Linked DNA regions of Schizosaccharomyces pombe. Changing the gene in region 2 together with the main gene of any one other region gives a genetic interaction. Each region holds a gene or a part of one and is shown on either strand. Other genes may lie near its edges.

Region 1 (16,098 bases), on a different chromosome or scaffold from region 2:
ATATATTTAAATTACAACTTGAAGGTCTTCAGCAAGGTGTTTTTACTTGTGCTCCGCAAACATTGGCCAAGATTAAGGAGAAAACCAGTCGCTATTTTGCCTTTGTGAAAGCTCAACTGTTAAGACTTCACCATGAAGTAAATAACAATAATATGAGTATTCAAAATGCTCTTGCCCATATCTCCTCGCTCCGTACTGCATCTATTAATCAACAGCAGCAGCCACAGCCACAGTCACAGCAGCAACAACAGGCTTCCCAGTTTCCTCAAGCTCCTTCTGTATCATCCAATGTACGTCCTATCAATGGATCAATTCCTAATGCGCAACCCAGTGTTCCTGGGCAAGCCCAACCTGCAGCCAAAGCAAATTCTGTTGGTAACACATCTTTTCCTGTTGACAGTAAACTTGCATTCCAATCCTTGGATGTATCTCAGCCGGATTTGCAAGCCAAACAGAAGATTGCATCACAAGTCATGAAACATGGTTTAAAACCAGAAGATCTCAAGTTACCGCCTTCTAAGAAGAAAAAGATAGAAAACTTATCGACAGTTCAAAAACCTAAGGATTCAGTCGTAAATACTCCTGATGTTATAATGTCAAGTGTAGATGAAATACCTTCTAGTGTTTCTCCAGGTACTATAGCCAAAGAGGAAGGAATGGCTAAAGCTCGGGAAGAAGCAATTGCTAATCCTTTGAAGTACGCAATCGATGCATTTGTGGCTGTAGACCATGAAGAAGAAGTTTCTGCTATCAAATCATCACAGACTCCTAGTTCTATTTTGAAAACACCTCAGTCGTTTTTCATTCCTCCGTCAACTCCAGATTTATCATTTACAGATAACAAAAACTCACTTAGTCCATCTAATATTTTGTCATTGGACGGAAAATTTTCATTTAATGATGATTCGGAGCTTTGGGCTGATTTAGGTAATGAAATCAACTCTGAAATCGGATTTTTAAAGGAACCAGATACCATGAATCTTGCTTTGGATGCAGATAAAGATAAGACTAAAATGCAAAATAAGCTTACTCAAATTAATTTTGATGAATCATGTTTTCTAGATCCAGCGATCGACGATAAAGATCCATGGAATGAAATGCTTCATGAAAAGAAAGTTTTGCTAAAGCAGCTTCAAGTGGGTAACGAAGATGAAGACAACATCGCATTTCCAACATCTACAAACATATGGCAAGTTGTGATTTAAAATTTTGTGATACGATGGTTCGCAATTGTTTTTTATTTATTTATTGCACGTCGTCTCAAAAAGCAAATTGGACATATTTGTCCTTCTACAATATCTTATGAATACCATAGACATATATTGTTTCTCTGTTTATTCAACGTTTCTCCATTTTTTGAAAGCATCTGTTATGTTGAAAATTGTGATTGGGAAAAGGTTTGTATAGTCCTTGTGTTTATATACAATGATAAAAATAGAACCTGAATTTAATATTTTGAAGATCCGGTTGTACCTTTATTAGGCACAATGCCAGAAAGTATGGCTTTTTCCCGATTAATGACCTGTCTATGAGACTCATTGTGAACATGAAAATGTCGGTATAATGAGGACCGTTACAAATTTTATTTATTCATACGTTTAAGTTGATTTTAGTTAATTTATTATTAGTGCACCGGTTGGTGTTGAAAATTAATTTGTAATCTCTTAAATGAATATTTGTATAGTTTTTAATGTTTACTATCTCAAATATTCTAAAAGTAGCTATCAGTTTATGTTTTTGCTTTGGTTCAAGAGCTTTGGTTTAACCTAACCGCCAAATAGCTATCTCGAATTACCATCTAACATGAGAAAACAAATTAATATTTCAAAACTCCCGATAATTTATTGAGCTTAATAATTAATTAAAATTTACGTATTATTGAAGTCAATAAAAGCTTTCTTTGTCTTCCATGAACAAAGAAACCTTGTGATCTCAGTCTTGTATATAACACGCTAACTCGTGGCCTACTGTAAATAAAAGTTATCTTACTAACGATATATTATTTCTTGATTCATTGAAATAAGAATCGTAGGATTTAACAATAATTGAATACAGAGATCTCCTAGCTTCATTATTAAGTACAAAATAGTCAATTAATTTTTTTATCAAGCAGATTAATTGCTTTTAAACTTACAATGAATGGTATAAGGAAAAAACCAGCAACCTTGCAACTCCATAATATAAAAACCAGCTGTTTCATTGATGGCAGTGATGATCAAAGCGATAGAACAAGGTCAAGTTCTGGAGATAGCACCTCTAATTCACTGAAGCTATCACATCATATATCTGACGAACTGATCAATGCCATATATAAAGAGTTAAAGTCGCCAGTATCACCTTGGGACAAAAACATTTCGCAGCATTCGCCATGGCTGTTGGAAGCGGCATCGAACTCCATTGGTGATTCAAGTCCTTTACTTTCACCAATCTCTCCATTAAAGTTAAGATTTCATAAATATTCGGTTTCGAAACAGCTAAACAGCGTTGGAAAGCAGGGTTTTGGTCTTTCTTCAAACCATAGTCGTTATGCCTCACCATCCTCCCCTGCACGGCTTGCAAGAGGTGCACTTGGTGAGGAACTTAGCAATTCGCAATACAGATTAGAATGCGCCGCAATTCAGAAGCTTGTTGCTCAAAAACGAGCCAATAGAAGGAGTAGTAAAAGCACTTTAAAAAATTCTGCAAATGATATAGAGTTTTTCGATATTGAAGAAGTTTCCTCTCGCAAGGGACTAATAGACAGAACACCTTCTAAAAGAAATGTTACTTCCCGAGTTTCTGATGCGTATTCTCGTCTTAAATCTGCTGTGAAAGGCGAATCAAGCTTGTCCTTTAAAAGAAACCGATCGAAATCGAAGAGGAAAATTCAGCACCTGGGTTTGACTGAGTTTAATGGGTGGGAACACCATCAGTGCGACTGGCTATAAAATAAGTGTTACTCAGATGCTCCATGTTAGGCTACATGGTGCTAGCCATGTGGTAATTAACATTCATTTATTTCCTTCATTACTTTCTTCCTTAGTCCTCCTATCTCTTATTAGCTGGAAAGCTTTTATCATTTGCATTTTTCTTGTTAATTGGTCTTTCATTTATCTCGTCGTGTGCATTGAGATTTCCTATTTAAGTTTACGACTCATATTGTTTAATCTAATTTATTGTTTGTTTCTAATTATTCTTAATTTACTACCATAAAATTAAATTACTTAAAATTGGATACGTTCTATATGGTATGCATACGATTGCAATAAATCTTTAAAAGCATTACCCACTAAAATATTATACTATGTAACTACAAATTGTAGATACCTTCTGAAATTGATGATGTAAACAACATATTTAATTATATACAATTCCTTTGCGCAGATTTTACAGGCTTTAAAAGCGAGTGAAGATTAATTTTATATATTTGTAGTCCTATTACGTTCATAAACAGATTTCTGAAACATTAACATAAACTGGGTGCCACAAAACTAAATTAGTTTAATCTTCTCATAACATAGATTTATTAGTATGCACACTGTGAATTATGAAACACTGACATTCAGTAGCCAAAAATTCGTAAATTATTAAATATCTAGTTTCCAATTTTCTACGTTTTTATTTGAATGTGCAGTTAATCTGTAAGTATTTCCTTGTTGTTGATTGTGACACTCTTAGTCATATTCGCCGTTTTATAAATGCCAACCAAACGAGAAGATAACTCAAACATATTACTTCTTAAAGAAATAACAATAAACTGCGCGTTTTTAGTTCTTTCCTTAATGTAATTCGCAACAATCGAAACGTTTTTAAAGTCTAATGCAGCATCGATTTCGTCCATAACGTATAAAGGAGTCGGTTTGTAATTATGTAGAGCAAAGACAAGGGCTAGAGAACTTAACGTCTTCTCTCCTCCCGAAAGGTTAGATATGTTCTTCCAAGATTTTTTGGGAGGCATCACACTAAACAATACCCCCTCAGAAAACGGATCCAAACTATCCACTAACTCAAGCTCTGCGTTTCCGCCCATAGTAATAATTTGATACATTTCTTTAAGCTTCATAGATATAATTCCAAATCCGTACATAAACTCATCGAGCCTCTGAGATTGAAGATCTGTAACGACTTTTTTCAAATCGGTTCTTTTTTGCAATTCACTTTGGTAATCAGAATCACGCTTTTCTGCTTCCTTGTTACATCTACGATATTCAGACAAAACATTGATATCTACTTCTCTGTCTTCAGTTTTCTTTTTCAAGACTGAAATATTAGAGACCAGCTCGCTTTTATCAACTGAACTCAGTTCATCTTCAGAATATTCGGGAAAAGTTGAGTCCATTGTTGTCTGGTCACAAAATTCAGTCAAATTGTGTAACTTCAGATTTGACATGAGCTTTAAATATTTATTTTCATTATTGCCGACCTCTGATAATGCCGTACGCTGCTCTTGAATTTGATTTTCCAATTCAATCCTTTCTGCTTTAACGGAATTCATTTGCTTAGATTCAAATTCAATAAATTTTACTAGTTCGTCGATAGAGGAATTGATGTCCCATAGAGCATTTTCAAATTCGCGGAGCCGAGATTTGTGTTCATCCACATACTTGTTTAACGATTGTAGTTCAGTCTTTAAAGTGGCTATACTTTCAGTAGTTGTATCGTACTCGCTAGTAAGGTTTGATAGTTCAACTTGGAAAGATTGACTGCGTTGCTCATTCTTCTTCTTCTTGAAACTCATTTTGTTAAGCTTGTCTTTAACAAATTTGAGTTGCTCATGCAAATCGTCGACCTTTGATTTTTGTATACGATATCGAATCCCACCTATTTCCATGATCTTATCTTGTAACGTCTTAATTTCAGTGACAAGGCCTTCATTGTTAATATTTATGGCCTCAACTTCCTTGTCCATATTTGATATTTTGTTTTGGAGATTCCGTTTACGTTCATTGTTGTTTCTAATACTTTTTAAATCGGATTTAAGCTGCAAGATTCGCCTCTCTTCTCCAGCTACCAATCTATCACAAGCAGAAACGTCAAGCTGCAGCTTTGAAATCTCTAGTTCCGCCGATGGAATACGTTCCGAAATTTCAGTAAATCGCTGATTAAGGCTCTCCAGCTCACTTAGGTGTTGGCGATATCGAGTGTCTTCTAGTTGCACTTGTTTATCACAAGTCTCAACTGAAGCCGGCGATACATCACTCGTTATAGCTGAGGACATTCCGCCTTTCTTTACTCGAGTACCACCTCCAGTCATTGTGCCCGATTTATCAATTAACTGACCACTTAGTGTAACAACTCTCCAACGTGTTTTGCCATACGCAATTCTATTAGCCTGTTCCAAATTTTTAGCAACTAAGGTATTCTGCAAAACGTTATAAAACGCAGGAGCGAATTTCTGATCATTAAACCGAAGTAAGTCGAAGAGCCGGGGAACATTCTCAGGTGTTTGGATACGAGCTAAATTTTTCTGCGCCAGTTCTTTGAGAATAATAAAACTAGCACGGCCTAGGTTATTGGAGCGCAGAAAAGCCACACATTTCTGTCCAGTTTCAATATTGTCAACTACAATATGATTTAAAGCAGGACAGGCAGTTGAAATGGCCACATCATAAGCCTCGTCAATTGTAGCCAAATCACCAAGACGTCCAAAGAAACCATTTAAATTATCAGATTCATGAAGTCTTTGAAGACTTTCTAACACATTTCCACGAGATCTAGAAGAACTTAAAGAAGCTTTCATCTCCTCCAACTTTGTTCTGTTTGACATAAGATTTCGGTAAGTATTGTGAACAGTTTCCTTCTTTCTTTCAATGTTCTTACTAACATCTTTCTTCTCTCCTTTTAGGTCGGAAAGCACTTTAAGCTTAGAAGACAGGATATTCCGATTTTCTTCTGCATCATTACGCAGTTTATCAAGCGAAGATTGAGAGGACTCAACATCGTTAATTAGATCATTTTCTTTATTTAATAACATATCCAACTCAACCTGTAAAATTTGTTTTTCTGATGTCAATTGGTTTATTTTCTCGAGGGCGGGAGCCATAGCCTTTTGCTTTTCTTCAATAGCATTTGAAATACCTTCCGTTTTTCCCTGTAGACTTTTCCTAATGTCATCCAAACTCAATTCTTCCTGTTGAAGTCTTAAACTGAGATCGGCAATTTCAGAATTCAACTTTTGGGAATCAATATCATGAGAGCTTAAAGAATTTTCTGCTTCTGATTTTTCGAATGAAAGAGCCTCAATGGATTTCTTTAACTTTTTTTCTTTATTAAGTAAAAATTTTAACTGCTCTTCAATCTTCACAGTCTGTTGTTCATAAGACTGGCGAGTTTTCTTCTCTGAAGTACAATCGTTTTTTACTTTTGCTGCCTTTTCACGCAATGATTTAACCTCTTCATTTTTTTCCGAAATATCTCGCTCGGTTTGTTCAAATTTCTCTAAATGTGCTTGTAATTTTCCTTCCAAACTATTAAGCAAGTTTTGAACTAACGTCTTTTTATTGCGTGTTTCGTATAGAATAGTACGGTAAAGCTGATTCTGTTTCATAAACAACTCATTTTCGTCTTTGAGAAAAGAAAGAACCGAATTTTTGCTATCTTCTAATTTCGCCTTTTCAGAGAGCACCAGTTTTAAACGAGATTCTTTCTCAGCACAGATATCATCAGAATTCGAAAGTTCTTGCATATTCTCTTCTATAATTGGCTTATATTTCGAGGTTCCGATGATATCTTCAAGATATTCAAGAAGACCATCATCACCTTCTGATATAGCCCGGGGCTTCATTTGCGCTATTGATTCGACTTCTCCTTGAAGAATTAAAAATCTCTTATGATTCAAGTCTATTCCTTTCTCCTTTAAAAGATTAGAAACTGCAGAAAAGGAACTCTCAACCCCATTTACAAAGTATTTACTAGTATTATTTTTATAAGCAGTACGACGAACTGTTAGTTCGCTTCCATCAACATAAGTAAAGTCAGAGTTTACCTCTTTAAAAGTAATTTCGACATCACAACTATCGAGAGAAGGATGAGTTGCAGATTTATGAATTAAGGCAGACGCTTTGGATTGCCTAAGTTTACTAGCACGAAAACCGAAAACAAAAAGTAAAGCATCGATAACATTAGATTTCCCAGAGCCATTTGGTCCAACAATTGAAGAAAAAGAAGGATGAAACGGACCCACTATCTGAGTTCCTGCATATGATTTAAAATTTGTTAGGCGTAGCTCGTAAACAACCAGTCTAGGAGGAAGAACCTGAGTGGTTTCTTCACAATTCTCAATATCCTCTGTAGTAGTAAATTCTGACACAAGTTGTGAACTCCGTTCATTGAAACCTGTTGATTTAGATGGAGTGCCATCTTGAGCAGACATAAATTTGTTGAGCAAATTAGGGCGTTCGTTTAAAGAATCGGTAATTCTTTTTTTTAAAAAGTCATTGAAAAATGGGCGAGATGGTGTTTGCTCTATCTTGACAATTGATGCGACATCTTTCTGAGAAGGAGATTCTAGCACTGAGCGAACCAACTTTCGTGGCCTTTCACCACGATCTGGCGTAACATCCACAATCGAGGGTGTTGAAGACGTTCGAAAGATGCCCTTGTCAGACATAAAGATAGTATCTTCAACAAATTATATATTACTTAAAATTCTAAAAGAGTGGGTGGTCGTGAAAAGAGGTGTGTTGTTTACAACGGTTGAACAGCATTTCACCCAACGATGAAGTCAATTAATGAATAAAATATACAAAAACCCACAGTTAAATTACACTAAAGCCCATGTTTATAAACTAAAGACTGAAGTATAATTGTGTAAACAGGTCATGTTAGATGAAAATGATCTATTTATTTTATACCTACACACCTGATTTAAAGGAAGACTTCAAACATCTTTTTACCTGTAATTATAAACTCATGTGTCTATTATACATTAAATTATTATGCTAGTCAATTTGGTATTCTTGGACGTTGAAAGTTAACTCAAAACGAAAATTAAGTAAAAGAGAATATTGCTCTGACACTTTACACTAGCAAAATATTAAAAGGACGAGCAGAATACATTGCTGTTTCTAAGTTTTTACTAGCACAAGCAAACATCCTCTTTCAATTCACACAATAAATATAAAGCTCAAAGATTTTTTGTTCTGTATTCCTTCATTAAATCTAGCAAGACGACGCAAAAATTTACCTTGTTTGGGTAGCCCTATGTGTGAAATAACCACGAATAAAGAATAATCAGTAAGTAATATAAATAGATTAGCTCTTTAAATGAAATGTTAATGCAAGGAAACGATTTGTCCAAGTTTTTTAGAACAACTTTTCAAATTCACTATTGTTTTGTATTTTTTTAGCTTTAAACTTGACAAGCCTTTTGCCATATGTTAATTTAACCCAAAATTCTTACATTTTGATTTAAACTAATCAAACGCAAATTCATATCTTCAAGCAATTGCAAGTAATTTATCTTTAAAACATTTAAATCTGTAAACATAGATTATTATATGCTATCTATGCTCACTTGATAACTTAGCTAAACTCTTCCTTCTTTATTTATTTATTTATTTTTTAAACAAAAACTAACAAGTCCTCTTAGTTTTTATTTATTTACGTTAAGTTTCTTTTTTTTAGTAAATAATTCCAAACTTAAAAAAAATTTTATAGTGATAAAACCTAGCAATGGACTTTATAATAATGATACTTTAGTTAATTTTTTTGTTGTTATTTGGTTATATCTCTATCACTAAACTACATATTTATTAACTATTAACTATACTTATAATTAAAACTCTTCTGAGTCTTAAAATAAAAAGCATATAGAATTGATATAAAAGATATTTAATATCTAAAAAAAAAATTAAAGGGTTGGCAATACATTTATCTAAATCAATTTGGTAATGCATTGGATCATCCAGCAGCCTGTTCCATCTTACTACTTTAAAAGTTTTTCTGTTAATTAGCATTAGATATAACGATGCACTCGCTCTGTATAACCCAGGAGGTTAGTTTTGTTTACCATCAATTCCTTCTCGTTATTGCAACATAGCGATGCCGCATATCAGATCAAAAAAGCCGCGTGAGTTTCTGTCCTTGCAGTTCTCCTTTACAATTAATTTGGTAGATGAAGGTGTTCTTACGGGGAAAACGAAGTAGCTAAATACTATAAAACATGATCCTTAATAGAAGAATTCAGGTGATTCTCCCTACCCTACTAATCTTATCGTTTATTATATGGATCTTTCACAGTGTTATGGTAGACAAAGATTGGCGTCTGTTTATGCCTGAAATTAAATCGCTTCCGGATCGAGAAGGTCAAGGTAGAAAACCAATTGAGATGATGTCCACGAAGCACGATAATAACACGAATAATTTAATGGTAAATGCATACTGGAAGTTAATTCATACGGTTGTTTCCAATTATCCAAACAGACCAACATTAGATGAGCGAGATATCTTAAGACATTATCTATTTTCTTCCGCTATTACAATGCCATGTGGTGAATACTCTGTGGAACTCCAAAAGATACTAGATGTACATCCTCCACAAACAAGTTCTCGAAAAGCAGCAACTACGTGGGCTTGCAAAGTACACAATCAATTAAATGAGAAAATGAATCAACCAAAGACATCATGCGATGGATTTAATGAGAGATATGTAATCGGATCGCCGACCTATCGCGAAAGCGAAGCTGAAAATGTTCCTGAACGGGTACAAGTAATTAACGAAGATCACGACTATTCTGGTTGATAACAATGGTTAATTTTAAGAATTCATGTATTATTAAAAAATATTACCGTCTATCATGCAATGCATTTGGATGTTAAGCTATTTATTTAATGAACCCTAAACTGATATGTTCAACTGTTTACCACCGTCATTTCCACTCATTATTCAGAAATGTTATATCGTTATGCATCAAAGTTATATTAGAAAAAACATAGAAATCACGTTACGGCCTTAACATGTTATGTCGGCTACTATTCACACGATCTGCCAAGCTTACAGAATCACCAGAGTAGATCTCTTTTCTCATATTTCTGATAAAATCTCCTTGGTTATCCCATTTTCTTGCGGTATCGCGTCTCTCTTTTTCCAAAAACTGTTCTTCATCTCTTTCTTTCTTTTCCAATAGTTCAATTTTTTTTCTTCGTGACTCATCTAATTCCTTAGCATTGTCTTGCATTTTCTGTAAACGGCTTTCTATATCGGTATGCCTTTGAGTGATAGGTTGCGAGTCTCGAGAATGAAATTGGTGATTTCGAGTCCTGAAATCCGGAGATGGTGAACGAGAATATTGTCTGCTTGTTCGCACATATTTTTTTAGGTCTCTTTCATCTTGAAAATGACCCTGATCAAAGCGCATATCATCATCGTAATGTTTCTTGAAATAACCAGAGTCATATTTATCTCGATGCCGATAGCGATCATTGTGTGTGCGTTCTCTCCAATTATTTCGGTCATTACGGTAGCTTCTTCTTGAATGCTCCCTTTTGTCAGAAGAATGTTGTTCATTATCTGACCTTTCCCTGCTTCTGTCTTGATTGCTTCGATGATGACGATCGCGGTGCCGCCGTTCTTTCGACTTTCTATCAGAGTCTAAAGAGTATTTCCTTTTTTCCATAAGCGTTTGTAGTTGTTTTTGTTCTTGTTGCTTGATTGCAAGTAAAGGATCTAGTCGCAACTTTGCCTGTGTGTCTTGTAGGGAGTTCGCGTTTTGAAGAGCGATAAACTCTGTTTTTTCTAATGAATTATTTTGATCCTCTATCTTGTCCTTTAAAAGATCATCTAGACGTCGCCTTCCAAGCAAATATTCTTCCATTTCTGAAGAGTCACGATTGGGTCCATTCGTGTTAGGAACTGCATACATCCACTCAACTCTGTCTTTTCTTTTTTTTCCACCAGCAGCTTCTTGTAGCCGATGTAATTCCAATAGTTGACGTTCTTCTTCAATTTCTCGCCTAAGTTGCTCGACTCGCTTCATCTCTTCTTTGTGAGCTTGCTCATCTTTCCAAACTTTTTCCTGGTTCCTCATTAGCAGAGGATGCCTAATCATAATATTAGTAAAACATCTTTAAACAATTATATTAATGCAAATAAATCCACTTACCAGCTTTTCTTCATATTTAGATCTCCACCACCCATTTTGAATTACTAATAAGAGTTGTTTAAATTTCAAAATAAAATTGAGAGGAAAATCCACTAATTGTTTTATTTTTAGGATTAAAAACCACAATTCTCAAAAAGTGGCTATTAATACAAAAAATTGAGTCTCGCTTTACCTGTGACTCATAGTGTTTTGCAAACATATACACTAAATTACTTGGGTAACATGTTACCCAAGAATAGAAAGTCAAGCTTGCGAATTCTGAGACCAATCAATAATAATCACGTTCAGATTTCTTAGTATTTTAGCTATAACTAAGTCATTGATAAACGTAAGTTCTATTTCACTTTAAACTGATTAAAAAGCAATGTATCATTAAAAATCCTACTTGATTATGAATGTGATTTTAAACAAATTGGTATACAGCATGAAAACATGGGTTGAAACTTAATTATATACTGGAATAGAATATGTGAATTCAGTCCAATAAGTTGCATATTATATACTTAATCCATTCAAAATCAATCAACATTTCTAAAATGAGAAATGACTAAGTTATTCTCCTTGGCAAAACGATGGTAATTCAGCAAGCAAAGTGTAATTTACATAAGCTATGCATTTAATGAAAAGATTAACAATCACGTTTTTTATTTTTTTTTGTGCATGGAGACATGACAAACTTCAACATCAACTTCACTGGATATTAGTAATGATATCCAGAATTTTTGCGCTTCTGAGAGCCTATCATTATCGCTTTTAACTTCTGAAAACATAAATTTTTTTTTAGACGGATTCCACAAACATAAATCAGGTATCCCGCTAGAACTATTTTTATAATCTTGGGTCAAAGCAAGAAATATTTGGGCGAGTCCATTATCGTTGATACAATCGACAATTTCAAGAAGCATTTCGCAAGTATACGACCAATTAAGACCTACACAAAATGTTTTTCTTTGGTGCTCTCTGATATAATTATCTTTTATAATTAGGCCAGCTTTCCCATTTCTTATTTCCTCAAGTCTTTTCATGATTGTCGATTCTCTAGATATATAAAAGGAATCAGTGTGCAAATCCAAAGGTGCACTTTGAAACGGAGATTGAAAAACACCAGGAACGTCCTCAAACAAAATATCCCAGAATGTCAAAGCAAACAAAGTTAGCAAAATGCTGCTTTCAGCATGTATACCTTCCCACCCAATCGATTGATAATGTTGAAGAGCAAGCTCTTCAACTGTGATAGCATTATTAGTCTTGCTACGCCAAACAGTCCGGTTTGAAAGGTCACCGTTATGTATTCGTTCACCATGAAGAAAAAGTCTTGAAGGATTATTATTTATAAGTTTCATGCTTTTTAATTCGGTAGTATTAGAGACTTTTAAACACTTCCGTAAGCGAACAAGTCTCCTTTGTAAGCTAAAGTAATATCTGAGGTGGGTATACTTGTCTTCAATACCATTTTCACAAGTTGATAAAGCAAGCGTTTTCCAATAACGCAAAACGTTAGTATCCTCAGTTTTAAAGTTGTATTCCAGTAAGGCTTTTCTATTATACCAATGTCCTCTTTTACCCACCAAATATATATTTTGAGATAAAAGGGTATCTAATATTTCATGTTCAACCTCAACTAATCGCGACTTCGCGAGAATATTTAGACTTTTATGTATTAAGTATGTGTAAACAGCACCAGGACGAAAGCTAAAAGAAAACCTTACCAATCGAGTATCTACTTTTCTATTTTCTTCCACCCAAAATTCCCTAATGTCTTCATTTAGATATGTCGACCATATAGGATATATTTCAAAAAAACTGTTCAACGCTTGTTCGAGTGCTTCCTTATCCGAAGCGGCAGTGTTTTCAAAGATTGGAACCAAGTTTTTTGAAAGTTCTAAAACCTCAACGTATTCAAGGCATTGAGCACGACAATTAAAGACGTTTGAAGTTCGCGATAAAACGTAATTCGGGTAGGAAAATTTGTTAAGGCGTGCTAATATTAAAGACGTAAGCGATTGTTCATCATAAATGGACGAACGAAAGTACACAATATTAATTCGATGAAATAGGTCTACTAAAATTTTCTTTGGTTTCACACAGGATTTGCATTGATATAATAGTTGCTTCCGAAGAAACGACTCTTGCTTATGCATCACACCAAAAGCATCAAAGGACAAAAATTGTTGACCATTACAATGTAGTACTGATTGTCTTTTAGATAGGAAAATGATTTCTTTTGAAATTTCAGACCTGCTTTTTCCACACACCTTCGTTTGTCTAGCTAACGAACGCAATTCATCGAGAGATAGAATTTCAATTATTTCTTCAGTTGACATGAGTGATTCATCTTCAAAAAAATTTTTCAGAACAAGCTGCTTACAGCAGGCAATAACATCCTTGCAATCTGGATAAGTCAAATGGCCCACGCGGAACCATTTATTTCTTTTACGCATGAATAGACGAACAAACAAGTACCGTTCATCCGAGTCTAAAGCTTTAAAGTTTTCAATAACCCTCAACTCATCATCAGTAAAGATATGCGGTTCACAATCGAGGACGGTGTTTAGGATTTCTTCGAACCCCAGCAGATACATTGAATTTTTAGTAGAATATACATTGTGCTTATTAGTATTGGCAACTTGTCCTTTAACTGTTGTCTCTGGTGCTTGACATACAACTTTTAAGGGAGGGAAACATAACTTGTTCTCGTTTACCCCAGATTTATCTGGAGTGTTTATGTCGCACGCTTCATTAAAGAATCGTTTCATGAATTTTTAGATATCACAGCAGCGCGACTGAATAAGTGCACAAGATGATGGCCGTAAGTAAACAAATATTTAAAAAAAAGAGCGGCTTTTACAACAATGGAAAGCTAGTATGAAAATAAATAATAATAAATTTTGAATGAATGTAAACGTCTTCTTGTGTAATAAAGTAAATTTTTAAAAGATTGAACATACAATTTAAGAGCATGGATTTCAAGGATAAAATGAGACAAACATTAAATCTATCGTGGATGTACTGGCAAAAAAAAAACGAAAATTATTGAATTTCATGGCAGCTGTAAATTTTTAAAGATTGCTTTAAAAGAAAGCCATACAATCAAATACTATGGTCAAAAGAGAAAAATTCGTTAAAACTTAGGAGAATGGTACTAGGGTAAGGACAACAGTTTAAATAAATGCTTTTGAAAATTTAACTGCATTCGTAAGTTACAGTGTTGTCTATAATGCAAGTTTAGCGAAAGTTGCTATTTGAAACTAAAAAGAAAATGTAAGTCAACAACGTTGTGCTTAAAATTACGACGCTGGCGAAGTTACTACAAACTCTCACTACCTTAACTTAGTAAGTCGAAACTTTTGACTAACCTTGGGCGTATCACATAAAGAAAAAATAAGTTAATTATTATTGTTCATGTTATAAATTTTTTTTAGCAAGGAATCCAAGAGCATTGACGCGCATATCATTTCATTAGAATTTGTACTTTTGTATTCCCTACTTTCATCAAAGTTTTTTCCGGAGAATTTAAGAGTTCATTTTAATAAACGAATTTCTTCCCTCCCTTCTTTTTTGAATAATTTTTTAAATAGCCTCATATTCATTCACTAACATGGATTTGTCTTCCAGATTATCATCAGGTTCTTCACGGATACCCAAGCGACACAGAGATTATCGCGATGAAGAACCTAGACGAGAAAGAGGTTCGGGTGGGATAGGAAGGGAAGACCCGAGAGGCCATTATGGCTCTGAACGACCTAGAAGACGTCGCCGAGACGAAAGTGATTTTCGTAGACATAGAGAATCTCGTGAAAGAAGTTATCGAGAGGATGAGAGGCCAAGAAGAGAAAGAAGATATGATGATTATGAGCCTCGATCATTACGTTATTCATCTGTCGGAAGAAGTAGAAGTCCACCTCCCAGCCGAGAAAGAAGCGTAAGGTCTATCGAACAGGAACTCGAACAATTGAGAGATGTAACACCAATAAATCAGTGGAAAAGGAAGCGCTCTTTATGGGACATTAAACCACCTGGTTATGAATTGGTTACTGCTGACCAGGCGAAAATGTCTGGTGTTTTTCCTTTGCCAGGCGCTCCTAGAGCTGCAGTTACTGATCCAGAGAAATTGCTAGAATTTGCTCGCTCTGCGGAAGGAAGTATTATTGCTCCCCCTCCGCCCTTACAACCAGGTGCTAGCAGACAGGCTCGTCGACTAGTGGTTACTGGAATTCCTAACGAATTCGTTGAAGATGCTTTTGTATCATTTATCGAAGATCTATTTATTTCAACTACATACCATAAACCCGAGACAAAGCATTTCTCCTCTGTCAACGTCTGTAAAGAAGAAAACTTTGCTATTCTTGAGGTCGCTACTCCTGAAGATGCCACCTTCCTCTGGGGGCTTCAGTCCGAATCATATTCTAATGATGTCTTTTTAAAATTTCAAAGAATTCAAAATTACATCGTCCCTCAAATTACCCCCGAAGTTTCTCAAAAAAGAAGTGATGATTATGCCAAGAACGACGTTTTAGATTCAAAAGACAAAATTTACATTTCAAATTTACCTTTAAATTTAGGCGAAGATCAAGTGGTGGAGCTACTTAAGCCTTTCGGTGATTTATTAAGCTTTCAATTGATAAAAAATATTGCAGATGGATCTTCGAAGGGTTTTTGTTTTTGCGAATTTAAAAATCCTTCTGATGCGGAAGTAGCTATCAGCGGTCTTGATGGTAAAGATACGTATGGGAACAAGTTACACGCACAATTTGCTTGTGTAGGTCTCAATCAAGCTATGATAGATAAGTCTAATGGAATGGCCATTTTGACAGAACTTGCTAAGGCGTCATCACAATCTATTCCAACTAGAGTCTTACAATTACATAATTTAATTACTGGGGACGAAATTATGGATGTACAAGAATATGAAGACATATATGAGTCTGTAAAGACCCAATTTTCGAATTATGGACCACTTATAGATATAAAAATTCCTCGTAGTATTGGCACTAGAAACTCGGGATTAGGAACTGGA
Region 2 (16,098 bases):
AGCCCAACCTGTAGATACGTCTTAAGGGGTATAGAAAGATAGTGTGTAAAACGTTCTTTTACTAATTTTCCAGATGAAATACCTTGGAAACGATTGCAACGGAACGTAACCTCAGAATCATTAACCGATGAACTTATCGTGGATCTGTTGTGCGGCAGATCCGAATCAAAGCACACATTGCAATTAGTGGTTTTAGAGAATTTATGTAGGGTATGTTTATTGCAATACTGTAGTAGTTAATGAATTGCTGATTGTGTGATGACTTTCAAACCAAGGAATTTTTTTGTTCGTCGCATCTACCCCATTTTGCCAGTCGTTTTTGAGCTGATTAATTAAATATGCTAACAATTTAGATTTATATCAACTACGTTGATCCTTTCCCTTTACGTATTGCCTGGTTTGAATTAGAACAACAAGCATTGAAAGACCATGAACATTTTGATGTACTGTGGGAGTGCAGCCATTCGATAAAGGTATGAAAAAAACTTTACATTCTTTCTCTTTTGCTGATTATTTGAAATTTAGGACCTTGCCCTTGCTAGTATGGCTCAACAAAAAAACGAGCTTCAAAAGCTTATGGCTTATACAGAGCAACTTCAAGAAGAATGTAAGTCTAGGGAACGAAAGCTTATAATGAAATTTGCAGATATGATTAAAAATGCAAGAAATAACGAGGATAATGAAGACAACCACCATATTAATTATGAGGATGAATCTGATGTCGGGACAGACGAGCAAAAGCAGCAAGAGGGAGTCAATTCTTCCGCAGTCTCTGATACTGACGAATCTGCAGTTTCTGATGAATTTATGCAGATAAAAGAAGAATTTCCAATGAAAGCATTGAGCGCTTCACCAACTGCAGACGCTTCTCCCGAGTCAGCAGGTGAAGATGATTCACATAGGCGATCGTCCCACGAAAGTAGCGAAACAGTTTCTGAGTAGCTTCGGAAGGAATGATAATATGATACATTACGCTTCAAGTTAAACTACCCGAAATGCCTCTCCATTCTTACACTTTTTTCAGTATTCAGGTCAACTTTATTCTCTTTAATTTCAAAACAATAATAAATTTACTTAAATTTAAATATTCACACGGAATCCTACTATAGGTAAAGCACTTGCAAGATAAATACAATATGTATAGTTGGTGAATTTTTATAAAGATGTCTTATAAGCCTAGCACTTCCTTCCTGTACAAAAGAATGAAGCATGTTTGCGATCGTGTTTACCATGCTATTATTTTCTGATCCACTTTTTCTTCAGCAAATTTACTATTTACATATATAATTTGTTACTCAAGGTTGGGCGCGTTCTGAAGTAACGTGTTTATTACTTGTCGACAATACGCTTCATAATTTCACCAAAATCCTATAACCAAGCCTGTTGTAATTTTATACTGGGATTTAGGCTTGAATATTCTTTTTTGACGGCATTTAGCAATTTTTGGCTTTGGATAAATGAATGCTTAGCTGTGTGGGCAAACGGGTTTTCGCTATTGGAAACGCAGTTACTAATTTGAATTTGCTAACATTCATACTGTTTTTAAATTAAATGCTGTGAAGATTTCTTTTCTTAAACTTTTCATATCTTTTCGAGTTACATGCTATCGGTAATTGCGCTAATTGACGCGAATTCTTAATATAATAGGCATTATTTGTTGTCTTCTAATCGAAATCTTTTAATTCCATAGCATATCTCTTTTTTAAGTAAATACTTTTATTTGAATAGTTTATACAGCGCATGCGATGAGCAACGACAGCAGTGATAATCAAATTCGTCGTCGGCATCATCCAGTACTGCCTAAGGGTTCCTTTCAGAAAAAGGACGATTCTATCGTCTTAGAACAGGAATTATCTACTCCAAAACAAGTCAACCAAGCCCGTCCAAAGTTTCCATCTCCAATTACTCCTACTCTTCCTGAAATGCATCTTCCCGTAGGGAATTCAAAATTCCAAGCGGTATTGCCAAGCTTGATAAGCCCTACGCTTCCTCCTGGGTTTGGAATGGCAAGCGATGACTCTGAAGCATCGTTAGCAGAGAACGATTTACATCCCTTGGATAACGATTCTACACGTACTAGCAAAACGCTTAAAAATTCATCAGAGGTTTTAACCGCTTCCAAACTTACTGATGAAGGTAATTCTAAACCTTTGTTGGAGGAAGGGGAGGTAGCTGTCAGTTCTCCAATTCTCCTTGATTCAAAAGATGTAATAATGGGAGTCACTAAGAGCTCAAAAAATCTAGTTGAAGATGCTCACAAATCAAAGAAGGCCTCCACGAACAGTTCCATAAATAATATGGTATCTACTGTAAATTCTGAAAATTCTAATGTTAATAATGGATCCTCGTTGAATGGTAACACCAGCAGCAATCTCAAGAGAAAAGCCAATGTAACGTTAGGTGATTATAAGCGCTTAAAAGTAAAAAACAAGAATCCTTCTTCCCAAGAGCTGATCACAGCTGATGTTGACAAAACATCTGGTTCACTGTCTGAAAAGTCGGAAGTAAATCATGCCTCTTTGAAGAAAACGTATATGCGTCTTCTTAACAGTGGGAAAATGCAAAAGAAAGAATGTGATAAGAAAGGAAAATTTTTCGAAGCGTACGCTGTAGATGCTGTTTTATGTTACACAGTTGCTTTTCACCTACAGAATCTTTCCAATCTTTCGAGAAACCATCCCGCTACTACGAGTAACTGGAGAACCCTCCCTGCGTATATTCAGTTTCTCATAAAAGAAGAGGATAAACTGGATCCTTGTATTCAAGGACTATTTTTTCTTTTACTCGGGATTGCATTTCGTGAAATTTTTCATATCGAGGTTATGAGGATACGACACTCACAATTGAATCTTATGAGAGACATAAAAGAAAGCTCAAGTGGATTAACATCTGCCAAGTCCCTCGGTGATGCACAGAATTTATGTGAGAATGCGGTGCGCCTTTACTCTTCGTATAAACATTACATTACATCTATGAAGAAGGGAAGTTCGTTGTTGACAATTGAATATATCTCATCTACTGCACCAAATACTTTTAACGAATTTTTTGTCCAAAAAAAGGCAAATATCCCTTTGCCATTAGATATCGACGCTCCAATTGGTGTCACAATCAGGTTTAGTCACAATTTATTAAACGAATGGATTAAAAAGCAAGGAGATGTTTTTGAGTCAAAGCTTTTAAAAGAAGATATCGAAAATCTTCAATCTTTAGAAGAAAGCTACCCCATTGCCCAATATTTATAAATAATTGTATTAACTCCCATAACTTGAAAGATTTGAGTCGGTCTTCAATAACAGAATGTCATTCTTTCACTAATAAAGTTACTTAATGTATTTTGCTTTATCATGCCTTTGTGTTTATTTTCAAATATGTAGAATAATCGAATAGATATTGATTCCCACGCTAAGTAGAAGTAATAAACTAAAACGTTTAGAATGCATGAACTTCTTAAGTACCTAGTACTATTCTGAATTTATATGATACGTTCACTGTAAAGATTTAAAAAGTCGTAAAAAAGTTCGAGGCTAGACTTAATTGTCTTTTAATACTAGATATACAAAGAAAGGCGATAAGCCTTTATACTCATGGTAATAAATAAAGAGCGATTTCAACAATGCGAGAGTCCTCCTTAATAATATGCAAATTACAGACGATAGAAACGTTTAAGCTGAAGAGGAAGTATTAACTCTTTCAGAATTACTGTACACAATAGGCTTTTCTTTCGAGCTCGGATGACGACGTTCTAACTTTGAAAGAATGCGACGACCACAGGGCGTATTCTTTATGCTTGGAATAAGTGGTTTAATCCGTTCAACCAACTCTGCGCGTTGCTTTACACTCGCATTATCAAGTGCCGTTTGAATAACATAATTAGCGAAAGAATCACGAAGTAACTTGGGAAGATGCTTTTCATCCATTAGTTCCGAAATCAGTTTTTCCTTAATAGCAGCGGGAGCAAAAAATATACACTAGTAAATTGATTAGTAAATTTCTGTTTTAACTTTACTACAAAACATACCTTTTCCATTACATTAGAGCTAAATTTTTGAGTTGAAAGAGCTCTCACTTTGTATAAAAAGTATGAGATAATAGCCTCAGTATGGTTTGGGTTGTTTAATTCCAAAACATACTGTAAAACGTAATTTCCGAATGCATCTTGTACGAGAGTGAGCGCATGGGGGACAATGTGTTCCACAAGTTGCTCGATCTGCGCAGGTGATGCATGATCGAAACATCTTTGAACGACACAGCATCCATGGCGGTGTGTAGAAACATCTAACGGATCTTCACAGATAGCATCAAAAATGAACTGACAGTCCTCTTGAGAGAATTTGTTGAGACATTTTTGAATGACATGATTACCATTTAAATCCTTAGTCAAAAGCACGACATTAGGACGCAAAGCATTCACGATACAAGAAATTTGATCAGGAGAAGAGACTAAATCAATAATCTTTTGTAAAGCACGGGTTCCGTGCATATTAAACGATATTGGAACAAGTTTAGGGGCAATTATTTGAATGAACGTAGATCGTTGAGCTTCAGATGCATGCTCAAACAATTTTTGACACAAATAGTTACCAAATGCATCAACCATTAACACAGCTAAATAAGGATGGGTTTCAGCAAAAACGGCGTCAATGTGAGATTGATTTTTCTTTTCTAGAAGTCGCTGTAAATAACGACAGCCATGTTGATCCTTACAGAACGAAAGAATATTGCTATTTTGCAATGAAAGAGATGCAACCGAAGAAGAGAGAGAGGAAGACACGCTAGGGTCATCGGATATCAAACTAGGCACGTTAAACCCAGGGGTATCAGCAGGACTCGGATTTCCTACAGTATTAGCCGAAGGAGGAGAAATAGTCGGTGTCGGAGCAATGAGTGTGTTAGCGATATTTGAGCCAGAGCTGTCAGTACTGCCCGTACTGGCCGTTGAGGCAGCCAAAGACGGAGTTAAATTTTCACCAAAGAAAGAAGTGGCATTAGAAAGTAGAGGGAAGGCCGCTGAATGCTTTGAAATAGATTGCAGACCATTGGCCATTGATGAAGAAGAAGTAGTAGAATTATTAGTCGACGAAGAACCTGAAGTAAAGGCAAAGTTTTTAGAAGCCGAAGGATTATTGGCGATCAAGCCAGGATTACCTCCAAGATTCGACGACGAAGAGATGCTTCGGCGAGAAGTAGAAGGTCCGGGCGTGTACGAAGACAATCCAGGACGACGTAAAAGTATGGGGATGTCATCTAACGTCGTATTCATTTGTAAGATAGAAGCCGAGCTATTTTTAGAGTTACTTCTTTGGTATGAAGCAGAGCCAGGCAAGTATAAAGAAGAAGATGGAGATGACAAATTATTCAATCCACCGCCCATAGTCGCAGGCGGAACAAAAGTTGTTGATGAAGAGTGAGAAGTAGTGAAAGAAGGAGTGTTAGAAAGAAGGTTATAGGGAACGAAATTCGAAGATCCGAACGTGTATCCACTCATGCTAGTATTCCGGTTCATGTTCCCAGTACGGTTTCCGAAAGCGCCGGATGCCAAACCGCTTTCCACAGCGGCTTTTGAACCATTTGTTTTTCCGGATTTAGAAGATGAAGGGATCTCAGACAAAGCAATCGGCGCATTAGCGGCATATGGATCCCAAGAATTCGATTTCAATACATCTTTATTCTCAATATCAGAGTACTGTGAAGAAAAGACTGGAAGCGAATATTCTGTAGACATAAAGGATGGATGAGATTTAGAAGACTGCTCGGTCATGCTACGCTTATGTTTTGCGAAGGATTACCTGTTGTCATATATTAACAGTCCGTGGGATAAATTGTTCTTAGTGGGGGATTTTTCCCAAACTATTTCCTGTCCCGATACAAACAAAAAGATGTAGAGAAGAACGATACAACACAAAAAACACAACCTCTACTTTACTTTAAGCAGGCGACTGTACAGTGTGTGGAGTGGAAACCATGCTTACTGTGAGATGTATTGTACCGACAGCAGGTAACACTACGGGTAACGCAACTTACTAAGGAAGAAGCAGGAAGGATTTGAAAAAAAAGAGAAAATGTGAAATTTGTGCTTCGAAGACAAAAACAATTTTTTTAAATGCTAAGAATCATCCCAATTCAGTTTCGTTTCACTCTCTACATTTTTTCTTGTAAGGCGTAATGCCGTAGTTTGACAAAAAACAGATCCCATGAGGTGATTTGTAAGATACAACACCCGTTGGTATGCCTTTTAATGTTTTTAATAACATGTCTTAATGATTTTTATTGGGAGGACGGCTGAGAGAAATTGACGGCAGTCAGTGCATCCATTCCTTCGTTGCACATGTTGATTTTACTTTTACTCGAGAATAACGCCAGGCGGTTCTTTTTTTTAAGCAATAACTACATCATTCGAACATTAATTAATGCTTATAAGAGCTCTTCAAAAGTATCTATAAAGGTTGAGCCAGCTGGTATTTTTATGTCGGCAACTTGATACAATTGTTGTGTATGATTAGTCGCTACATATTTATTTCATAGATTTTCAGTGAAAATCAAATTTATTTTTGGATTCCTTCTTCAAAACTCATAAACAGCCGTCAACTTGTAAACAGAGGCTCACTAATAGATGACGCAATTTTCGCTTAACAACTGCTTAATGCACTCTAAAGATGATAGGTAAACAAGGTCTACTACTTTAGCAGATTAAGACAGTGAGCTGTATTTTGAATAAACATATGTATAAAAAAGCACATCTATTCCTCAAAAGCGTAATTTTTTTATTTTTATAGGTGATATCTTTACAACGTTGTGGGCGTTAAAGATTGTTATGTAAAGCAAAACAGAGAACTTGCTTAAGATTCTCTGAATTTTTAGGTTTCCCTAAAAAACCCACTGTTGGTTTATTTAATTTTCATTTAAGTCTGAAAAAGTCTTGTTTGTGCTATCAGAAAATGCAGTCGTCAATAGAGGATGTCCAAGCTAATATCAAATAGGTGTGGATTTCTTTGTGTAAAAGAAGTCGATTCCTATTCTTTTTTTTAATCTTTTTTGATTTCAAATTTACACTTTTAATAGGTTGTTGGCTTTAATGTCTATCCTCTTATTATTATATGTGGTGTGTTCATATTTTATGCACCTCTTCTTCTACAAACGACGCGTTTTAAAAAAAAATCCTTTCACCCATCCTAAATGATACTGATTTAAACAAAATGCATTTATTAACTACGACGCTTATTTCTTTTGAACAAAACAAAGTAGAATATTTAACCCAAATCGCGATTTATACTCAAACACCTGTATGCACTGATTCAAACTGTGAGCATGCTAGATTTTTAAAACACAGCCTTATTCAAGTTTCAATTGAAAGGATAGAATATTTATACTCGATATTTCCGAATATATGGCAATTCGCTTTGCTTTGCCAAGGTCAAAATAAAGAATCATTGATACATATGGAAGAAGACGCCAGCACGAATTTCAAACTACGATATTGTAAGTTCTGTCTATCAGTATAATGAAACATAATTTCAAAACCTCCCATTACCCATTTTTGACCTAGTTGATTTAATTTAAAAAAAAAAATTTATTAGAGAACGAAAAAAAAATCCGAAGCTATATATTTACTAATGCTAAATGAGTTTAGATGTACTTCCATGGTCTAGAAGACTGCAAGGATACCAGAGCATTACAGTTCAAAATGGTTCCCATGTGCCTTTAGTCAAACGATTGGAAAAGTGGAGGATATTCGTAGAATGTTAACATATAAACATAAGAAAAAAAAAAGACTGCAGAATACAAGAGATCAATGTCATTAATCAATGTTTACACTTTCAAACTCGTCAGAAGATTGTATAATTTCTGCTTCTTTGTTGGGTATTAGATTGTCATCAGCCGTAGGTTCCGAACTTTGCTTAACTGTAGTAATATTTAGATCTTCTTCTTTATCGAGCGCATTCAGTTGCAAGTTAGTAGTATGCGCTTTTTCTGGCTCTAAGACTTCAGAAACTTGAGGGATTTCCTCAATTGCACCGTTAGTACCAATATCTTCAGCTGCTGCGGGAGATGGCTTATCATCGTCTGAATTTTCCTTAGTATCTAAAGGGGCTTCGATTATTTTCTCATCTGTCAAGCCATTCGCATTTTCAGAATTAGCATTGTTTTTTTCAACCTCTTCGTTAGTTGCAGGTCCTTCTTGATTCAATAAAGATTTAACAGCGTTCTCTTCAATTATTTCGTTAGGTTCAGCTTCTTCCTCATTCGCTGAGGATTCAACAGTACTCTTTGTAACTGCTTCACCGGAGGTAGTTTCTTCTTGATTGATTAAAGATTCAGCGGCTGTATTATTTTCTTCTTTTTCATCTTCAAGTCCTTCAGTCTCCGGGGTATTGTTTTCTTCGTTCACGTTAATCTGCTCAACGGCTGGCAAAGAAGATGGTTTTTCTTGATGATTGTTAGCTTCAACTTCGGAAGTTTGCTGGGCAGCAGGTGTACTTTCCAGATTCGAATGTTCCTCAGCATCCTTTATTTGCATATCCTCTTCGGGATTTTCCTGCTTTGTAGAATTTTCTGGCTGATCCGCTTTGATGTTTTCCGAAGAAGTTGGAGCTTCATTGGGCTTACTAGAATCACTTCGTAAACCAATGTCGCTGGAAACATCGATTGATTGCTCAGCCTCAGTTTCAGGCGCTTCAGCCGGAACAGAAGCTGAACTAGATGGCTCAGCATTTGCACTATTTTGAGTTCCCTGTTGGGTTGTTTGCTGTGGAGCTTTAGCTGATGCAGCACCTTGAGCAACTTCAGCGGTATTCTTCGGTTGTTCGGTTGTAGCATTGAGATTTGGTGCAGCATTTTGCGCAGCTTCTACAGAATTAATAGAAGCGTTAGCATTGTAAGAAGCGCGATTTTCGATGTAAAAACCACTAACGTTCACCAAACGTCCTTCAGATTCGCATTTCAACAAATAATCCAAACCTAAAATAGGGATATTGGCAGCTTTTGCCTTTTCGTACTCAGGACCCCCAGTAGAAGAGCAGATAAAATGAGTTGTATCGATACGAACGCTAGTTTGAATTGGTCTAGCGTGAATGCGTTCAATACACTTTTGTAAAGCCTCCATCTCATTGGGAACCATGTTGCCAACACACACTTGAATTCCTGTGAGATCTATCATTCTTAACGTTTTGATGGTAATGTGTTTGCTGGGAAATGTTCCCGCAGTCGTATCCAAAACAAGGGAAAAATCGTATTCTGTATCGAGAGATAAGCCACTCAGCTTGGCATTGTGAGTAGTCATGGGATTAGATATGTTAAGCACTCGAACATTATTACGGTACAAGCAAAGGCTTTTGAGTCTCGCAGTGGAGAGTTGTAAAGGATCCCATTCCAATACAATGCTAGTCTGAGTAGCATTCTTTAACTTAAGAACAGGAGGAGACGGCAATTTTTGGCCATATGTTTCAAAAATTTCTTTTTGAACATCATCGAATGCAGTTTCTCTTGCTATCTCTTCCTCTTTATTGTGATGCACAGAGATATCGATTATAGAGCCTGCAGTCGCGTCATTCGGCAGCAACACGGATGGAAATTCTATAATATGAAATGAAGGTGTCAATAAGATGGCCATTCCCGCATCTATTTTGGCCACAGACACCATAAATTGATTTGTATCATCCATTTTAGATGCTATTATTGATAATCCCCTTTGGTTGTGGTGGAGTGTTTACCTTAACCAGCACTCTTACACTTCTAACTATAGGTAGCACTTGTTACCTAAGGAACCGTAGTAAAAATGTAGGTTATAATCATCTTTGTTTTGATAAATATCAAGAGTTGTTGTGATTCCCTGGTTTTTCACAATCTATTTACATATCAAACTTATATATTTTTTAAATTTTCTGGTTAGTATCATTATAAGCGTAATTCTAGTAAGGAAGACAATTACAATTTATTAAAATTATATACAAATATTTGAAGATATATTTAATTCAATCACTCAGTAAAAGTGAACGATTTAATATATGTAGTTTATTATTATATTTCAACGAGAATTCATACAAACAATATTACAAAAAAATCTGTTGATTTTTTCAATCATCTAAATTATTAAAATATTGGGCTATTATTATCTATTCTTCAGACTAAAGCATTTTAAGGGGAGCAAATATACTACTTTCTGATACAATTAAATTCTAAATTACGTTAAGTTACATTGATAGTAAACAAAAACAAATGCAGTACTGTTGAACCCAGTTGATGAATATATCTTAATTCGTAAACCGTGCTGCATTCAAAATTTAAAATACTACACGAATGAAGGATTAGACCACAATATCTGTTGAGCAAAATAGAAGTCGAAAAATAATACAATTGTTAATCTGGATATAAAACCACGTGTGAGCAAACTTAAAAAATATTTCCTAATTATCAGGTTTACACATTTCACTCTATAAAATTAATTAAGAATAGTGGTTTTTTAATACACCTATCAGTGCAATAATCAGTATAAAAAGAAGCTAGCTTCTAAAGGAAAAATATGAAAATAAGATAACAAATTTGCTCCCGTACTAAGTACTTTTGAAGAATTAGAAAAAAGCCGTAGACAAATGGAATATCGAGGCTAATCTGTATACATTAAAACATTATCCATCTTTATGCTATAGGGTTATCCATATAAAGAGCGGAATAGAAAAGAAATACCGAGAAGGAAACAAAAATTCTATTTACCATCTTAAGTACGGAAAGTAATGATAATTTTGTATCCATAAAGATTTCCTTTGTCAAGCAAGCAAGGCCCATGATATGTATGGTGAGGTGTAGAAAGAAGAAAAGAGGAAAAAGCAATACAGGCCAAAACCAAATTGCTCAACAAAAAACCAACCTGGTATTCACTATCATTGACCCGTCAGTCATCAAGTATGTATATGCAAGAAAAATAAAAACGAATAAAGGATCTTGAGAAAAAATGCGTTATCTCTTTGCAAAAAAAGTGGCCCTGTCTACATCAGAAGCTTTTTTCTTAAAATTCGATTTATAGGTTGTTGTGTCAGGCAAGAGAGAAAGAAAGAGAGAAGGAAGAAAAAAACCAGAGACAAAAATACGCTTGAAAAAAAAGTATTCAAACAGCAAATATTTTGACTCGGCATGCGACTAAGCTACATGATACATCTTCTTACTTGCCATGAAATTTTGTTGCGATAGGAACAATAATGACAACAAGTAAAATGATGATACCAATGATAATGCAAAGACGCATACGCATGTCCTTCCACCACATCTTCTTGCGAACACGATTGGCGCCACGACGGAAGCCTTGCGCGCTAACAGCAAGGTTATCTTAAAGAAGTTAGCTAAACGTTCAAAAAAAAAATTTAACTGTTAACAAAAATAAATATCATACCTGTTTTATCTTGTAAAGAATCAAGGCGTTCTCCACGTTCTGAAACCTTAGAAATGTTTTCACGCATAATCCCCACAGTATCGTCAATCTGCTGCTGAATTGCAGCTGTCTTCATATTCGGCGTCGACGAAGCAGCAGCATTTCCACTACGAACAGCTGCAGAAGGCTCCGCCGGGATATATGGGTCATATGGCTCAGACATGGTCGTATGTGTTAGTTGGTGGAGGATTTATTTTTGCGCTCGGTTGGAGTTGATGTGTACCAATTCGTTAATCCTCTTTCCATTGCGTTAAACATCTGGCTTTGTAATGTTGGGTTGCAAAGCAGTTTTGTGATTATACTTATATAAATTAAAGAAAAAAAATAAAATAAAGTAATAAAATTACTTCTTGCCTTTTTACAATAAGAAACATGTAACTAGCTGTACCCTCATAGTAAATAACGTAAACAAATCCTTAGTATTGGTGAATTTGGGAGGAACCAACTACGCCCTTTGGAATAGAGATTTGGAAACACGTCTTGTTTCTTGGCGATTTGAGCTGTTCATAACAATATATTTCTTCTTCTAAATTTCCTTGAGTTATGAAATTTTTATGAAAGTTTTAACTTTCACATAGTGTTAAAAGGTCTCCTCTCATCGCTGTAGCGTCCGAAACGTTATTTGTTATTTTATTCTTGAGATCTTTTGTAAATAAAATTTTATTTACGTTACGATTTACGTCTGGATTAGGGTTTTGGTTTTGGCACTTGCAATATTAGATTTTTCCTGGGTTTTTGGTCTATCGGTGAAACAACGTTTATTTGGGTCCATTTAATCATACATTTATTAGAAAAAAGTCTTTAAAAAAGAGACAATACTCACTTACCTACATTTCTTTTGTTTGTTTTTTTGTTTTCACTCTTTTATCAGAAAAACAGGTTGAAATTTCCAAAAAAAATATTATTTACTTCATAACATTAAAAAAATATTAAATTTGATTGTTACAAATGGCGGAGAATCTTAGCGATCAAGATTGTTTTGAAAAATTATCGTCTAGTAAAGAGGGTCAGCATTGGTTTTGCTCAGGACTACTGACTCAGTATATACAACCTACCTTCTTTTGGTTTGCACATGATGAAACTCCGAGCTTTAAATGGGTATTAAATGCCTATCATGAGCGTTTACGCTCTTGTACTTCTTGTATACAAGCTTATTATGAACTTCGAAATGAATCCCTTGCGAAAGGTTCATATTCTTTTACTGGGTTTTCAATTACCGATTTACAGGAAAAGTGGAATAAATGGGATATTATCCGTGTCTTAGAGGACTTCAAGGCCCTGGAGGATGAAACAATTGACTTCACGTCTTTGCCTTGCTTAATTTTCGAAACCCTCTTGAATCCTAAATTGTTTACCTGTAAAAATATTTATAAAAATGCAATAGATGCATTTAATGGTCTACTTTCAGATTGGTGTTCTAATATATTTCTTCCTGGTTATTTACTATTTTTCTATGAAGCTTCCCATCCCGATGTTTTGGAATGGGTTCATAGCTTTTTTAAGGAAAATACTGAAATAAGAATTTCTTCTGCTACAGTTGACGCCGTTTTTAATACTGTAGTGTTTGAAAGTCAAAATTCCTCTGACAGTGATTGTAATTTCGTGTCTATAAGTAGTCCTGAATTTTGGGAACGTACTTACATGTTTTTAGAACTTCTTCCTTTACAATCCATTACTGCTGCATGTGAGTCCATTTTAAAAGATTATCTTTTAAATTTGGTAAAGACTTCTGAATCTCTATCCTCTCAACAAATGTCCTGTCTTCGAATTTGCTGCAATTCCTCATCCTTTTGGTCTGCCGCTGATTCATTTAAGGAAGTGTCTTCTTTCTTAAAAAACTTGCTAAAAAATGTTACAGCTACACCTTTTGAAGTATCTGACATGAACTGGGCTTACATTATTGCTTCATTTTTTCGCACATGTTTAAATGACTTTGTTAGTGTTTTTCCGGAATGGCTTAAAGGATTTGTAGAAGAGAAGCGTACTATAGGTTTCATCATTTATTCGGTTTTGGATGCGTTATTTGATCTATTATCGCTAGATTACAGCTCTCCTTCATTTCTTAACAATACACTATCGTTGATGAATGCTAATAGCATCACTATTTTACAAGATTATCCGGAGTACATGCTGAAACTCAGATTGCACTCTTTACTTTATGACATTGCATTTATAAGTTGGTCTCATAAGGCAATCACTAAAAATCCCTCATTTGTTTTCGATCCTTCATATGAACTCTCTCCTTTTTGGAAGCTTGACAATCTACAGGAAGAAAAAATATCTGACGTCCTTTTCTCTAAAATTTCAAGTTGTTGCTTTGCCCACGATATTGAAATATCCGAAAATTCTACACCGTCTGGAACCATGGTGCAGTTTGCTGAACTATGGCAAGTAATGTCGGAATATATCAGTGGATTTTTAAAAGGATTTTCTGAAAAGTCGTCTACTGAAATTTCAAATATGCTGGGAGATTCTTCAAAATTTGACACAGTTGTATCATTTCTGTTATCTCCTACTCAGCCGCTCTATGTTAGTGCTTTTCATATTGTCCAAATAATTACCAATTGCACTAAAAACAGGAATGAGGCTCTTAAAAAACTGGTTGCAATGGATTTTCGAGGAATTGTGCATGGTCTAGCTGATGCTGTTCTTAACTGGCAATCTATTTTAAGCTTCTTTCCTGCTCTTCGAATTATGAGATTTTTGAGCATTACTAATAAATCCTTATCATCTGACAATTCTGCTTTCACAGAAAATGACATACCTACCTTGGGTGCTTATTGGCAGTGCATCTGGAACATATTGGATTTAGTTTTTTCCAACGTTGCCAGATGGTCGCTTAACAATCCTGCTGATACGGTTAAAGCATTGATGAAACTAACACTTAAGTTTGTTGATGATCTTTTCCAAAATGACGGAATCTTCATAAAGCTCCTTGCTAAGTTTGATAGCTTGATTCTGTTAGGCGAAACTTCTGAATCATTGTTCTCTTTTATTATGTGGCTTAAAATAAACGATTTAGAATTAAGGGGAATTGTCATCAATAGTTTATGCAAGCTTTTCACTAAATTTTCGAATTTTGACTACCTTTTCGAGGATCGCACCGTTACCTTCCTTACAGATTTTATCATTAGAAAGCAAAAAGCACATTTGTCTGCCGATCAATGTAAACAGCTTGCTAATGTTTTGACTCAGGCTAGCCCTGAAGCAAAGACTGTACTTGAGCAACACCGACTTTCGGAAATGCGAAAAACAAAGAAACAAACAGAACTAACTAATAGTGCACATGTCATAAAGCCAAGTCCTACACCTCAAATTACTGTGAAACAGAATACTACTAAATCTTCAAGTGCCCCTCGCATGGGAATGCTGGAGCAACTAAAGCAGGAGTATTTGACTAAACGAAACTTTGAATCTAAACTCAAATCATCTGCTGTATCTTCAAGAAAGCCAACATTTAATGAAGTCAAGCCAGCTAACCTTTTAGCTGAGGACCTCTCAGATAATGAGGATGATATTGATAGAAAGCAAGGATTATTCTCTCTTGCCAAAGCAAACAAAATTCCAGAGATACGCCAACAAGAGCGACGACAAGTGCAGCTATTATCTAATTCCACTATTAAGATGCATCCTTCACAAATTCGGATGATGACTAATAGGAACGTTGCAAATGTTAAAGCACGCTTATTTCCAAGTATGACTGACTTTTACAAAGAAATTTTGAGCTGGGAACCAGCTAATCAGTCACCTAATCCTGTACTGAAATTTCATAAGCTTGATGGGAAAATTATTGATAGTTTTAAAACGGTTGAACATTATATGGAGGTTTTGCAGCCGATGATATTTATGGAATGCTGGAGTCAAATTCAGTCAACAAAATTGGATTTAAAATTCTCTCCTGTTGAAGGAATCATGGTTGAAAGAACGGCCGTCAATAATTTTGTTGATATAGGAGTCTCAGTGGCTCCCAAGGATCTATACGGTTATCCCTTATATGATACGGAAGTAGTTTCGTTGGCTTTTAACAAGGAGGATGCTTCATCAATGAAAGGGCTGTGTTGCTTTGCGAAAGTTGAACGCATAGTTAGGCAAACGAATGGAGTTTTAGTTGTCTTACGTACGTTACCATCTATGGAAATTTTGAACAAATTACAAGGTAATTGTGCTTTATGGTTTCTAAAATTAACAAATTTGGCTACATTCACTCGCCAATATGCCGGCATAAGAGGTTTACCATACTTTCATCTAGCAGACGATATTATTCGTGCGAGGCCTTGTTCTCAACCAGTTAAGCATTCTTCAAGCGAGATAAAAGCAGCTATGAAGCGATATCAGGTTAACGAACCTCAAGCTAAGGCCATTATGTGCGCTCTTGATAATAACGGATTTACTTTGATTCAAGGTCCTCCCGGTACTGGTAAAACAAAAACAATTATTGGGATTATTTCGGCTTTGCTCGTGGACCTTAGTCGATACCACATAACACGACCGAATCAACAATCGAAGAGCACAGAATCAAAGCAACAAATTTTACTTTGTGCACCTAGTAATGCAGCGGTTGACGAAGTTTTATTGCGTCTAAAACGTGGTTTCCTTTTAGAAAATGGTGAAAAATATATACCAAGAGTTGTCCGTATAGGTAATCCGGAAACCATTAATGTTTCAGTTCGCGATTTGTC

Evidence for each region.
Region 1: of sen1 (region 2) and cut3, a mutation in one rescues a mutant of the other (synthetic rescue), as found in Schizosaccharomyces pombe (2 studies listed by BioGRID).

The regions. Positions count from the first base shown.
Region 1 is NC_003423.3:998,876-1,014,973, forward strand, and holds cut3 (condensin complex SMC subunit Smc4), read right to left. Parts: upstream 7,649-16,098; 5' UTR 7,589-7,648; coding exon 3,614-7,588; 3' UTR 3,388-3,613; downstream 1-3,387. Other genes in the region: mediator complex subunit Med15, read left to right, coding at 1-1,205; SPOM_SPBC146.02 (uncharacterized protein), read left to right, coding at 2,136-2,927; erv2 (sulfhydryl oxidase), read left to right, coding at 9,143-9,721; protein Cwf25, read right to left, coding at 9,924-11,019, 11,082-11,116; fan1 (fanconi-associated nuclease 1), read right to left, coding at 11,726-13,837; prp2 (U2 small nuclear RNA auxiliary factor small subunit, U2AF-59), read left to right, coding at 14,680-16,098. UniProt on the Schizosaccharomyces pombe protein: Central component of the condensin complex, a complex required for conversion of interphase chromatin into mitotic-like condense chromosomes.
Region 2 is NC_003424.3:3,263,795-3,279,892, reverse strand, and holds the start of sen1 (helicase Sen1), read left to right. Parts: upstream 1-11,852; 5' UTR 11,853-12,367; coding exon 12,368-16,098. Other genes in the region: protein Xrc4, read left to right, coding at 1-28, 74-210, 354-473, 526-942; protein Ebp1, read left to right, coding at 1,746-3,242; puf4 (RNA-binding protein), read right to left, coding at 3,663-3,968, 4,019-5,758; bouquet formation protein Bqt1, read left to right, coding at 7,194-7,476, 7,628-7,743; CHS5-like protein Cfr1, read right to left, coding at 7,796-9,658; syb1 (synaptobrevin family receptor), read right to left, coding at 11,153-11,316, 11,381-11,582. UniProt on the Schizosaccharomyces pombe protein: ATP-dependent 5'->3' DNA/RNA helicase required for the expression and maturation of diverse classes of non-protein-coding RNAs like precursor tRNAs, rRNAs and small nuclear (snRNA) and nucleolar (snoRNA) RNAs.